Linked DNA regions of Drosophila melanogaster. The protein of the gene in region 2 interacts with the protein of the main gene of each other region in a pairwise test. Each region holds a gene or a part of one and is shown on either strand. Other genes may lie near its edges.

Region 1 (4,447 bases), on a different chromosome or scaffold from region 2:
TCCAGCAGCAACAGCAGCGTCAGTACCAGGTAAAGCTAGATCCGAAAGTCAAGACGGTCACGTCGGGCTCTAGCGAGAAGCCTTCGACATCCTCGAGTGCAGCCGCAGCCGGCGCCGGAGGACGCATCAAGGCCAGGAGAGTGCTCTACAAGAAGAGCGTTGGAGCAGCGGCAGTCGCCCAGAAGGCGCCCGGCGAGACCTACGTAATGCGCCTGTTTGAGCGAAGTTTGGACCTGTCCAAATACCAGGATAAGACTCCTTTGTACCCCATATGCCGCGCATGGATGGCAAATCAACCCAAGAATCCAGCTGTGGGTGCATTTCAAACAGATGCTTCACTCACGGCCACCAAACGTGAGGACAACGGCGAAGAAATCCTGTCCCAAATTAAAAGCGGCGAGATAAAGGTGATCAACCAGCTCCCGCAGGCCAAGTCCACGGATCTGCCCATAATTCCGCCTCGTCTGGAGTTCAGCCAGGAGGACAAGAAGCGGGAAAAGGCTCTCCAAGGTGCCAGTACCTCCGATCTTCTGTCCTCCAATATGAACCGCTGGAAGAAAGTGCGCGGACACTGGATAAAGCATATCAAGAAGTATGAAAAGGAGCGATATGAAGTTATTGACAAGATTATGAGCTTGGTCTGCAAAAACTGAAGCGTATCTAGGTGATTTTGGAAGTGGTATAGAAAATGAAAAATAATTTGGATTAATTGTGCACAAAGAATTAAAAAAAATCCTGTTTCCAAATCGAATATATATGCAAATAAGATGCTTGTACACTTTATATACTTATATAAAATAAAATCAAATTTGTCAAGTAGACCACTTCAAGTCTATCAAGAGAATGATAAAGCGTTTTTATATTTGCATATTTTCCTGATTAAAAAATAATATGAAATGCATTTGTATTGCAGCACGGAAAGGCAACCGCAGCTGATTTGATTGGATTATCCCAAGATTTTTGATAAGAAAGACATTTGTCATTGACTTGAATAAATGTTTATTTGTATTGGTAGAAGATGCGTTCCCTTTGCGGTTAAATTAGTTCTAGTTTAGAGCTGTGTATGAAGTTATCATTATTATTTTGGGTTGGCAAATGCTGCTGGATTGTTCTGGTTCCGATTATGATGTTCTTCGGCTCGTCGCCGGTGCGCCGGTCCGCAACCCCCTGCGATTTGGTTTGGGGTATACACATTGGGCATCCTGTGCGCCTATTCGACCTTGAGCAGCTCGACGTCGAAGGTGAGGGTGGAGTTGGGCGGAATGACGCCGGGGTGGCCACGGCTACCGTAGGCATAGTCCGGCGAGCAAATCAGCTTGGCGCGCTGGCCGACGCTCAACTGGGCAACTCCCTCATCCCAGCCACGGATGACCTCGCCCTTGCCGATGGTGAACTTGAATGGCTTGTTGCGGTCGCGCGACGAATCGAACTGCGTGGAATTCAAGGCGGATCATTAGCTGGGGATGGCGAGGATCGGGATTCGTACTCACCTTGGTGCCATCGTCCAGGGTGCCGGTGTAGTGGACCGTGACCTTTTGGCCATTCTTGGGATAGGTGCTGCCTGCGGGCGGGGAATGCAAAAATGGATGTGTGTGAGCGGGACGACCATATTGTCGCAGGTATTTCCGAATTGTGCATTGCGAAAATGCACTAAATAGGTTAGAAAGGCCGGTAGTTTACGGCATTTCTTGCGGATTCTAACCCAATCATTGGATACTCACCATCACCAGGAGCAATTGGAACTACTTGTACGCCCATTTCGATTAGTTTTTTTCTGGCAAATTACCGAGCGGAAAATAAGCACGTTGATTTCAGTTCGTCGCGTCGCCGAATGACAGCTAGCGGTGGGCGATGGTCGGTGAGCGGAAACTATCGCACACATCAATTTGATTAATTATCAAAACCAATTGCTTTCCGAGTTATCGATAAGGACGTTTTTGTATTTTGGCGCGTCCGTTTGAATTGTTTACTATGAACCGAAAGAATAAAGCAGTGCAAGATCTTGCCTCTTATCTTAAAGTCCGAGACACATTGGTCATTGGTCAACTTGTATAGGTCCCCCAAAAGTGTGCTAAGTATTAAATAAACATAACTATAGTTATATAATTTATTTAAATTCCTCGACTCAGTTATTTGTTATCAACTGTCACAGTTTGATTGCCATCACTCGCAGCTTTGTGTGTGGGGCTGCCGGTGTGAAGATCACTCGTCCTTCATCGTCCTTATAGTCGGCGTAGTCGATGGAATAGATGCACTCCATGCCCAAGGCCCCCTTCTGGCGAGCGGAGTAGAAGCTAGTGCAGAAGGCCATCATAAGGGGGAAACCATTCGATCGGCCCAGCTCCATCAGGGTGGCGGCCAGGCGGGAGCCCAGGCCCTTGCCCCTCTTCCACGAGGCCACGCTGGTCACGTGGGAGTAGAGCGCCTTCGGGATGTCGTAGCGCTCAAACAGATTGACTTCGCGCTTGGCCTTCATTAGTAAATGATACATTCGACCCCAAGCGTTATCCTCCACATTCTCGAGCTTCAAATTCAATGTTCCTGCATTCACATTATCGGGATAACTGGCACATGCCAGAACTAGACCCACAATCCGGCCACCATCGTTTTCATCCAGTGCCAAAAGGCTGGTGCCCTCGGCGATTATCGACTGGTTGAAGGCGTCGTTGATCTCCTCGTTCTGCTGGTGAACGGGTTCGCCGCTGGACTGGCACAGAGGCTCCGATGTGTAGTACTCAGCCTCCATATAGGCTTTTACCTGTGCATAATCCTCTGGGCGCATGATGCGTATCGTGACGCCATCTATTGTCGTGGGAGTCATCGCGATCCGGAGCTAATTCGTTCTATATGCTTTTCTTAAGACAGAAGAGGACGCCGATGTGTACATGGCTTTTATACTTCGGCGCTTATCACTGATAATGGCTTATCATATTTATAGATTGTTTCTGTTTGGCGAAGAGAAAGTTGTTTCCAACGGCTTTTGGTTTTATTTTTAATGAAGTGCCAGACTGACTTATCCTTTTAGTAATAAACATTTTTCGAATATGGTTTTCTGACCCAAAATCTTTGAGGATAAATACATCGAGTGGAAAGTGATTACTTAATATCAGATTTTGTAATTATTGCAAGGTCATGTGTCGATAAATACATAATCAACACAATATCTGAACAATAAAGTAGACCGTTCTACATTTTATTACTTTATTTGATCCATATGGACTTGCGTTTCCAGCTCGACGACCTTTATCAATTGCCAAGGCCAAAGTAATAATTAATTAATAAATTATTTTAATTTTTACATTTTTGAGGCCAAGACCCGAATGTGGGTATGGGGCGCTGGTGGATTATATATCGGCCGACCCAACTCGTCCTTGTAGTCAGCATAGGCCACCGAATGGATGCACTCACATCCCGCTTTCATCGCCGACCGGGAGGAGTAGTGATTGGTTCCGCTGGTGATGAACAGAGTGTGTCCCCGCAGGCGACCCAATTTAAAGAGACATTTGGAAAGTATGACCAAGATACCTCTTTGCCTCATTGAGGGGTGAACGGAGATGACCAGCAGACTCAGGTAGGAGGAGACTCCGAAGCGTTCGAAAATGTTGGCTTCGCGCTCCACTTTGGCTATAAATTTCCTGCTGCGACCCAAAGCATTTGGCTCCATTTCCTCGGCTTCCTTGTGCTGCTTGGCCATTTCGATGGGATCCATCGTCTCCGCCACGGCAATGCCAACCAGTAGTCCCCCGTTGTTATCGTCCAGTGCCACTATGGATAGTCCCTGCCTGATCACCGCCAGGTATTGCCTATCCACTTCCTCCTCATGCTGCAGGTGAATGGGCTCCTCGAGACCCATTCCCATGGGCTCGTCGTAGTGAAAGTAGTCCGTCATGAAGGTTTTCACTCTTGGATAGTCGTCCTCCTTCATAACTCGTACGGTTATGCCATCATTTTGACTAAGAATCATGTTGGACTGAGCAGCGATGTTTGGTTTCCCGGCTTGGTATACTATGGTTCATTCTACATGACTGCAGGAGCCTTTTAAAGAAACCGAACTGAGTTATCTACAAATACAAGTTCAAGAACTTCCATTGTTTGCTATATTCAAGGTGGTGCTCAAATAAGATAATACGTTGCATTTCCAAAAAAATGAACATGTTGGTATTAATCTTTTAATCTACCGATAGGTCTAATCTACAATAAGATACAGTTTCTTTAAGAGGAAGAGGAAAAAATTAAAGCAAGAGGTAATCACAATTCTTCTGCATCAGCAAAATGCAGTATTCATGAAGAATCTTACGTGCTTTCGGATTCGATTCGTGCCTGTCCGGATGACAGGATGGCGCGTTCTTCTGATCCATTGTCCATCCAGAAAATCTCCTCGTCTGTCCAATTCCGCATAATTTCAGATGGAGCGAGCACGTTTGCTTCTGCAAATGGCCAGATGTTG
Region 2 (7,212 bases):
TGGTCGAGGGCATGTGTGAGTGTCGTGGCTGATAATTTGCAGTTTAATTACAGAACACCGATGGCCACAAACAACAATGACGAGGGGAAGATCGAGTTACCCAGCACTCGATAGTCAAATACTCTAGCCGCAACTCTCTTATAACTTCAATAAAATAAATACATATTTAAAATCGAATAAGCCAAGTGGATTCTGTATTTCCTATTTAAGTATGACTGGATCCGGGTTTTGAAGTAAATAATATTATAAGACTTGTGACCATACAAGTACAATACATAGGAATGCAAAGAGTACTCATCGCATGGCCAACACTTTGCTGCATAAATTCAAATTAGTTTGGTACAGTCCTATCCCAATATCAAGTCCTTGCTGGACTCATCCTATTCGAGCCTCACCTCCTTTCGTGGCCACGCATCACTTTTAATTTCGATGTGAGACAATGTTCTTGGTCCTGTCAGGTGCATAACTGCATTATGTCCTTGTATGTGGCATAGGCGTCCTGTTCGCGTGCGGAGGGGAGGATCACTGTTTATTGGCGTCCATTAGATAAGGAATTTACGCGAACGCAATTGTTGGGCTTCGCTTCGACTTCAAAGGGTTATTGTCGTGCTTTGTCCATTTAGTTCCGATTAGTGGCATTGAGTGGCATCCGCGATTATGCGGAGGCATTGAATTGAATTTATATAGGCGCAAGGGGCATGAAATATTCGAATGCAATAGAACTATGTTTTTTAAATTTTAAAGTATTTATGTCAGTAATAAAATTTTAAATAAATTATTTATAACTTCAACATAACTGCGTTAATGAACCTAAAGGTATGCTGCACATTTTTTCATTTTCTTATGAGAACTAAAATACTTGCAACATTCTTATGTTGCACACATCTTAACTAAATAGTAAATAAACACAGTTTATTTAATATTAGGAACTCAAATAAGTATTTATTTCTTGGCTGAAACTAGGTTTAACGTACTTTTTATTAATAAGTTTATAGTAATACAAGTTTGTTTACTCATTTGTTATACACACTATCGTGATTACACATCTGAAAGCTGAGCCTAATAAAATAATTTTAATTAAAATCATACGCATGTCATTCAATGTCCTCTTATTTAAATAAAAATTTCTGAAACGCCGGAAGAGAAGGGAACTGAAACACAGAGATATGTATATACACAAGTAGCGAATTGAAGGATGAATTATTTTTGTATAAAATGTTGACCAGCGAATATTAATTGCAACCCAGACCCATTCGCTTTAATTACAATTACTCTTGTTCTTTTATTGTGTATTTTGTCGGCTGATAACTTTTTTCGTGTTAATTAGTGTAATCGTGGAGCAGGGGAACTACCTTAGTTATTGTACCTGTCACTATTTGTATATTTGAATTGAATGGCAGTTGGTCGAGAGGAAAACCAACAACACAAACTCCTGAAGAGTGTATTAAATGACAATCACAATAAAGTTCCCATAACTGTAGAGCGAATTTTAATGAATGTGTATTCTATGCGTAATAATGAAAATAAAACAGATATTATATAATTGACAAATATGACACACTGTTTACGCATTAATTGCGGGGAGTTAAAGCCAGCTATACTCGTACAGTTTTGTTTGTTCTTAGCTGATGACTCTGATAATTGTAATTTTTTTCAATTCAAAACTTTAATTCAATAAATATTCACTTCATGTTCGTTAACTGTATTTGTTGTGGTATTTTTTATTGGCATATTTCCAAGCATTTATCTTCATTACAATTTTTGTGGTAGGAAACTGATCAATATCCTGGTCAGCCCACTTCGTTATTCCCAAATCAGGTACTTTCTGTAAGCTAAATTCTCTTATCTTTGTTTATAACATTTTAGGAAATTGAAATCACAATTTCTCTCCACGTATGCACATAAATGGGTGGCCCCAGCGCAATAATTCGTCAAGTTTTATGAGCTTTATGAAATTGGTATGCAACCGACAAAAGTACAATCGAAATTATAATTCAGCAAATTAAACGATGCAGCATCGATGAAATTGAAGTGTATTTGCTTGCGAATTTTGGCATGACGAATCTTGAGTTCAGGGATGTTACTACTTAGTTAGATGTTGTAAAAAAGAAGAACTCTAAAAGCTCAACTATTACAATGGAAACAAAAGTCAATATATTCTAAAAGTATTTTTGTTTTCTTGAAGTTTTGCTATACAATTGGTTACCGTGAAAAATATACTAAAATGGCTTAGCTGCAATTTGCTATTACAAGATTATATGATCCTCATACTTCATCTATATTCATCATCATATATTTCATTAGGTATTCTTCTACGGCTGCAGTAATTGGAACACTTTAGTGTCTTATATCATAACTTTAAAGTTAAAAGTAGCAAATGTATAATAGAAATTTCAAAATAATAGCGAAAATTTGAAGAACTTAGCAATGCTATCCTAGAGCATTTCGAATCCGACTTAGAAATCTACGATTCACCGATTCTCAACGTATTGTTTACATCTCCGATGCCCGATGTTAAGTACTTAAGCGACTGGGGGGCGAGCAAAAAAGAGTCACTTCAATTTCGCTTCCACATCGATTTGAATACGCTTATAATATACATATTCGGGTGTAAGAAATTCGTATAAATAAATATGCGCAGTGTTAATAACGCAGTCGACCCGACAGTTGCTCTTAATCGCGGCGCTTTTGCGCAATACTAAGCCAGTGCAGAATATTTAAGATCGTTTAGTTTGTGCACTCAAAAAAAAAAAAAAAAAGAGAACACCAGACAGTGGTTATTTGAAGATGTTAATGTAAAAATCCAATACTACTGTGAATGGACTAATATTATAAGAGTCAAATGATTTTATTCAAATACTATTCACCTTTTGACGGGTTCGCTTATGAATTGAAATAGAATGGTGTTAAAAGAAAAGACATAAAATGCACATCGATAACTAATTTTATTTGGCACTTTTATGTGACAATTAATCATTTAGACCGCGCATAATATTACAAATTGAAAAAACAAATGAATGATCACATTTTACTGTGAATAGTAAATGACAGCTTGTGAGAAATATGTCGCTGTACACTATTTTTTAAATTTATACACTGTGCACCGATTCGGTTTGTTTTTTCTTGTGTAAATTCGCTTGTTACCCAACTTTTATGACCCTTGGGTCCGGTGACCCTTTAGTAACCGTCTGATCTTCGCGTCTGTGTTCCGCTTAAAACGCTTGATGCGACGCTTCAACGAGGCAGTTGCTCTTTAGAACGTCCGTCGCAATGTTCTGGCTGGGATTCGGATTGCTGTTGCTCGCGTTGTCCCTATACCTGCTATATGTCTTCGAGCGGCAGAGCAGGATCGACCGGCTCACCCACAAATGGCCAGCCCCACCGGCCCTGCCATTCATTGGCCATCTGCACATTCTAGCCAAATTGGTGGGACCGCATCCACTTCGACGAGCCACCGAAATGATCAACGAACATCTACACGATCATCGAGCAAAACTATGGATGGGCACTAAGCTCTATCTCGTGGACTGCAATCCCAAGGATATACAGGCTCTGTGCAGTGCCCAGCAGCTGCTGCAGAAGACCAACGACTATAGGGTCTTCGAGAACTGGCTCTGCGAGGGTCTCTTCACCAGTGGATTCGAGAAGTGGTCCCATCGCCGGAAGATCGTAATGCCGGCCTTCAACTACACCATGATCAAACAGTTTGTTGCCGTCTTTGAGAAGCAGTCGAGGATTCTTTTGACGAATGTCGCTAAATTTGCCGAGTCCGGGGATCAAATTGACTTTCTGCAACTGATCAGCTGCTTCACTTTGGACACTATTTGTGAAACGGCCCTCGGAGTCTCTGTGGGTTCGCAGTCGAGCGCCAAGTCGGAATACCTCGATGCTGTTAAATCGTAAGTAAACTACACGTGTATTACAAGTCCCTTAGAGACAACTTAGTTTGTATTTAATCAGCAACTACGGTGTGATGAATCATAAAATTTTCGCACATTAATTAAACAAAACAAACAGTTGAGAAGATATAAAAGACTCATCCAGCACGCTTGTTCAATAAAAATTTCGTAACCCATTATAGATAGCTTAATTGTTTATTAGTCAGACCTTTTTTTTATTTACTTACTTGGAAGCCATAGAAAAAATACAAGTTACAGGTTACGTTAGTTTTTAATATTGATATTATACATCTTCGTTTGCTCACAGAATCCTTGTCATCATCGATAAGCGACTGAAGAACATCTTCTACCGCAACTCGTTTATTTTCAAACGCACATCGCATTATAAGCGAGAACAGGAGCTGATAAAAACGCTTCACGGATTCACAGAGGGCATTATACAGAAACGTATTGATGAAATCAACCAGGATGCAGAGAATCGCAACTACCAGAGCAGTGATGCGGAATTGGACGGAGTGAAGCGGACCCTATGCTTTCTGGACACCTTGCTACTGTCCAAGGGTCCCGATGGCAAGCCTTTGACAGTCAAGGATATTCGCGAGGAAGTGGACACCATCATATTTGGGGGATTCGATCTCACGGCCACCACCCTCAACTTTTTCATGTATAACATGACTCTTCATCCGGAGCACCAGCAGCGATGTCGCGAGGAGGTGTGGTCGGTATGCGGCAAGGACAAAAGTGAACCCATCTCCATAGAGCAGGTGCGCCAACTGGAGTTCCTGGAGGCGTGTATAAAGGAAACTCTGCGGATGTATCCTTCAGGTCCACTCACTGCCAGAAAAGCCACAGCCAACTGCACAATCAGTAAGTACATATTGTTATTTGTTCCTAGTTATATATATACAAATATTTTAAACTTTCTAGATGACTTCTTCATACCGAAGGGTAGCGATGTAATCATTTCACCAATTTACATGGGACGTTGCAAGGACTTCTTTCCGGATCCGATGGTCTTCAAGCCAGATCGCTGGGCAATTGGAGCGGAGCCCAAAATTGAGGCCACCACTTTTATACCCTTTATGGCGGGGGCTCGGAGTTGCATGGGCCAGCGGTATGCGATGGTCATGCTCAAAATGGTGCTAGCTCACCTGCTGAGGAACTTCCTGTTCGAGCCCCTTGGCGAGCGACAGGTGAAGTTGAAGCTCAACTTTGTGATCACGCTGCATACCGTTGAACCCTATCTATGTAGAGCTAAAAATCTAGATTGAGGCTAGCCAAAAGTTTTTCACTTAGCCAATACGTTTGTCAATAAAGTTAGGTATTATTGTAGGTACATTCCGCTTATTCTAGTCTTTTGTGTATTTTTTTTCCTTCAGTTAAGCTGCTTCTACATGGCCCAAAGATTGCAGGTATTCTTTCTGTAAATTATGCCTCCTTAATTAATTCAATCAAACAGATAGCACACTCTTTTTAAAGCATTTTTATCAGGGATTCTTTTAAGAAAGTTTAATTTACGAAGGCTTTTCAACTTCAAACTTATTATGAAGCTTTTAGAATAGACCGCTATCAATTCGTTTCACTTGGATCCTTTCAAAGCGTTTACGTTTCATTGCGACGCACAACATTTCCGTTTTTAATGATATACTCGTTTAAAAAAAGAATTCTATACGATTTGAAGTATTTTTTCGCCTGCTCATTTTTATGCGATTTAAGCAGGGCGCGTTCGTCTAGAAAATAATTTCTGGCTGGCGTGGATTTTTATTGTGGCAACCGAGCAGCGGAAAATCAACAAACATTTCCTGGCGCTGTAATAAATAAAAATGCATAAAGCAGCCACCAAACCGTCGCCAGTCAGTCACTCGGTCTGCCTGATCCTGCCACATCCTGCCTTATCCTGGGGAAAATACACACACTCCCACTCCCGCCGAATCGCCATTATCCACCAGCATCATCATCGAATTCCGGTGCAAATTATGAGCGTTGCCTGCTTATTATTGCGACAGCCACGGGGGCGCAGGATAAGGCGGAATATAAAATGCAATTTATTTAAATAAAAATCAAGTTTAATTCGCAGTGTCGTAAATTTTTCTTTTATTTTTTTTTTTATACTCTTCAGCTCGTCCCGGGCATTGAATTTCACGCTTTTGTTAACAAGCGCATAAAAGTTTGTTCTATCTGCCAACTGATACGATTCTGGCATTCAGAAGCCCCAGCAGAAGGGGTTAGAAGACTGTTGAACTCAGTGGCTGATTGGTGGTGTGAGTTTCGGGGGTGGGTTGATTCTCATATTATGGCCGGTACATGAGAACGGAAACGATTTCAGCCAATTTCCAAGCATTCCAAATCGATTTTAATCAATGATAAAAAATACATAACAAAATATCAAGCCATTTTTTAACAGAGAAAATAGCTTAAAGGTTTTGAAGAGTTACACCAGTAGTTGGTAGAAATAATACTGTAATTAAAGAATATTTTCAAAATGCCAAGAAAATTTTATTTCTAAACATACAACAAACAATGTATTAAAATGTGTTAAATATAAGTTGTCTTAAGTTAAATAATCAATATGCGAAATAAATGTCTGGTCAAACGACAAAATAAAAAGGTGAACAAATTTTTATTCTTAACATAATTTAAATAATTTTCCCGCTAAACCGGATTTTAATTTTGAACCCGGTAACTTTCGTTTTTCGTTTTAACGAAATAAATTTTGTAACTTAAAAAAATGAGTGCATTTGATGACGCCCAGTTGAAATTTTATGACCACCCCCACCACCTTAGGCCCGTTTAAAATCCATCTTGAAATTAAAATATGCGCCTAAGGAACATGTTCCCAAAAACTTTGAGTGCTTGGCCAACATTTTACGATCGTTTTATTGGTTATGCAATCGCGGAGGGAGGCTTTAACCCTTCTGTTGGCACCCGCCATAACTTAATTATCCATATGAATCCTTGCCGGCTTTTATGGCGACCCAACCCCAGCGGCATTAATTATGATGAGTACTTGGTGGTGTCTCTCCTTTTTAGTGTCAGCTGTCTCATATTTTTATCTATCTTAATTCGCAGATCTTCACGGTGGCTTTCTCGTCGTGTCGCCGCCCATTAAAGCGATATGGAATCCAGGTCCGAATCCTAATCCCGGTCCAGACTTGACTTGATGTTTTATTGCTGCTGACTGGGCGCAGTTTTCATTTACACAATTTTTATGCCCAGCATCTGTACATCGGGCATAAGTTTATGATGGAGCATAATTCACGGCGTGGGCATCGTCAATGTTTAATGATCAAAAAGGCCCAAGGCGAGGGTTCTT

What was found. Proteins that work in one complex are often made in the same cells at the same time.
Region 1: the proteins of Cyp312a1 (region 2) and Fkbp12 interact in a two-hybrid assay, tested with the Drosophila melanogaster proteins (one large-scale study listed by BioGRID).

The regions. Positions count from the first base shown.
Region 1 is NT_033778.4:19,287,500-19,291,946, reverse strand, and holds Fkbp12 (FK506-binding protein 12kD), read right to left. Parts: upstream 1,839-4,447; 5' UTR 1,759-1,838; coding exon 1,722-1,758; intron 1,562-1,721; coding exon 1,491-1,561; intron 1,430-1,490; coding exon 1,211-1,429; 3' UTR 985-1,210; downstream 1-984. Other genes in the region: mip40 (Myb-interacting protein 40), read left to right, coding at 1-653; AANATL4 (arylalkylamine N-acetyltransferase-like 4), read right to left, coding at 2,147-2,821; AANATL6 (arylalkylamine N-acetyltransferase-like 6), read right to left, coding at 3,296-3,964. UniProt on the Drosophila melanogaster protein: PPIases accelerate the folding of proteins. It catalyzes the cis-trans isomerization of proline imidic peptide bonds in oligopeptides.
Region 2 is NT_037436.4:18,128,125-18,135,336, reverse strand, and holds Cyp312a1 (cytochrome P450 312a1), read left to right. Parts: upstream 1-2,647; 5' UTR 2,648-3,270; coding exon 3,271-3,899; intron 3,900-4,206; coding exon 4,207-4,766; intron 4,767-4,826; coding exon 4,827-5,170; 3' UTR 5,171-6,397; downstream 6,398-7,212. UniProt on the Drosophila melanogaster protein: May be involved in the metabolism of insect hormones and in the breakdown of synthetic insecticides.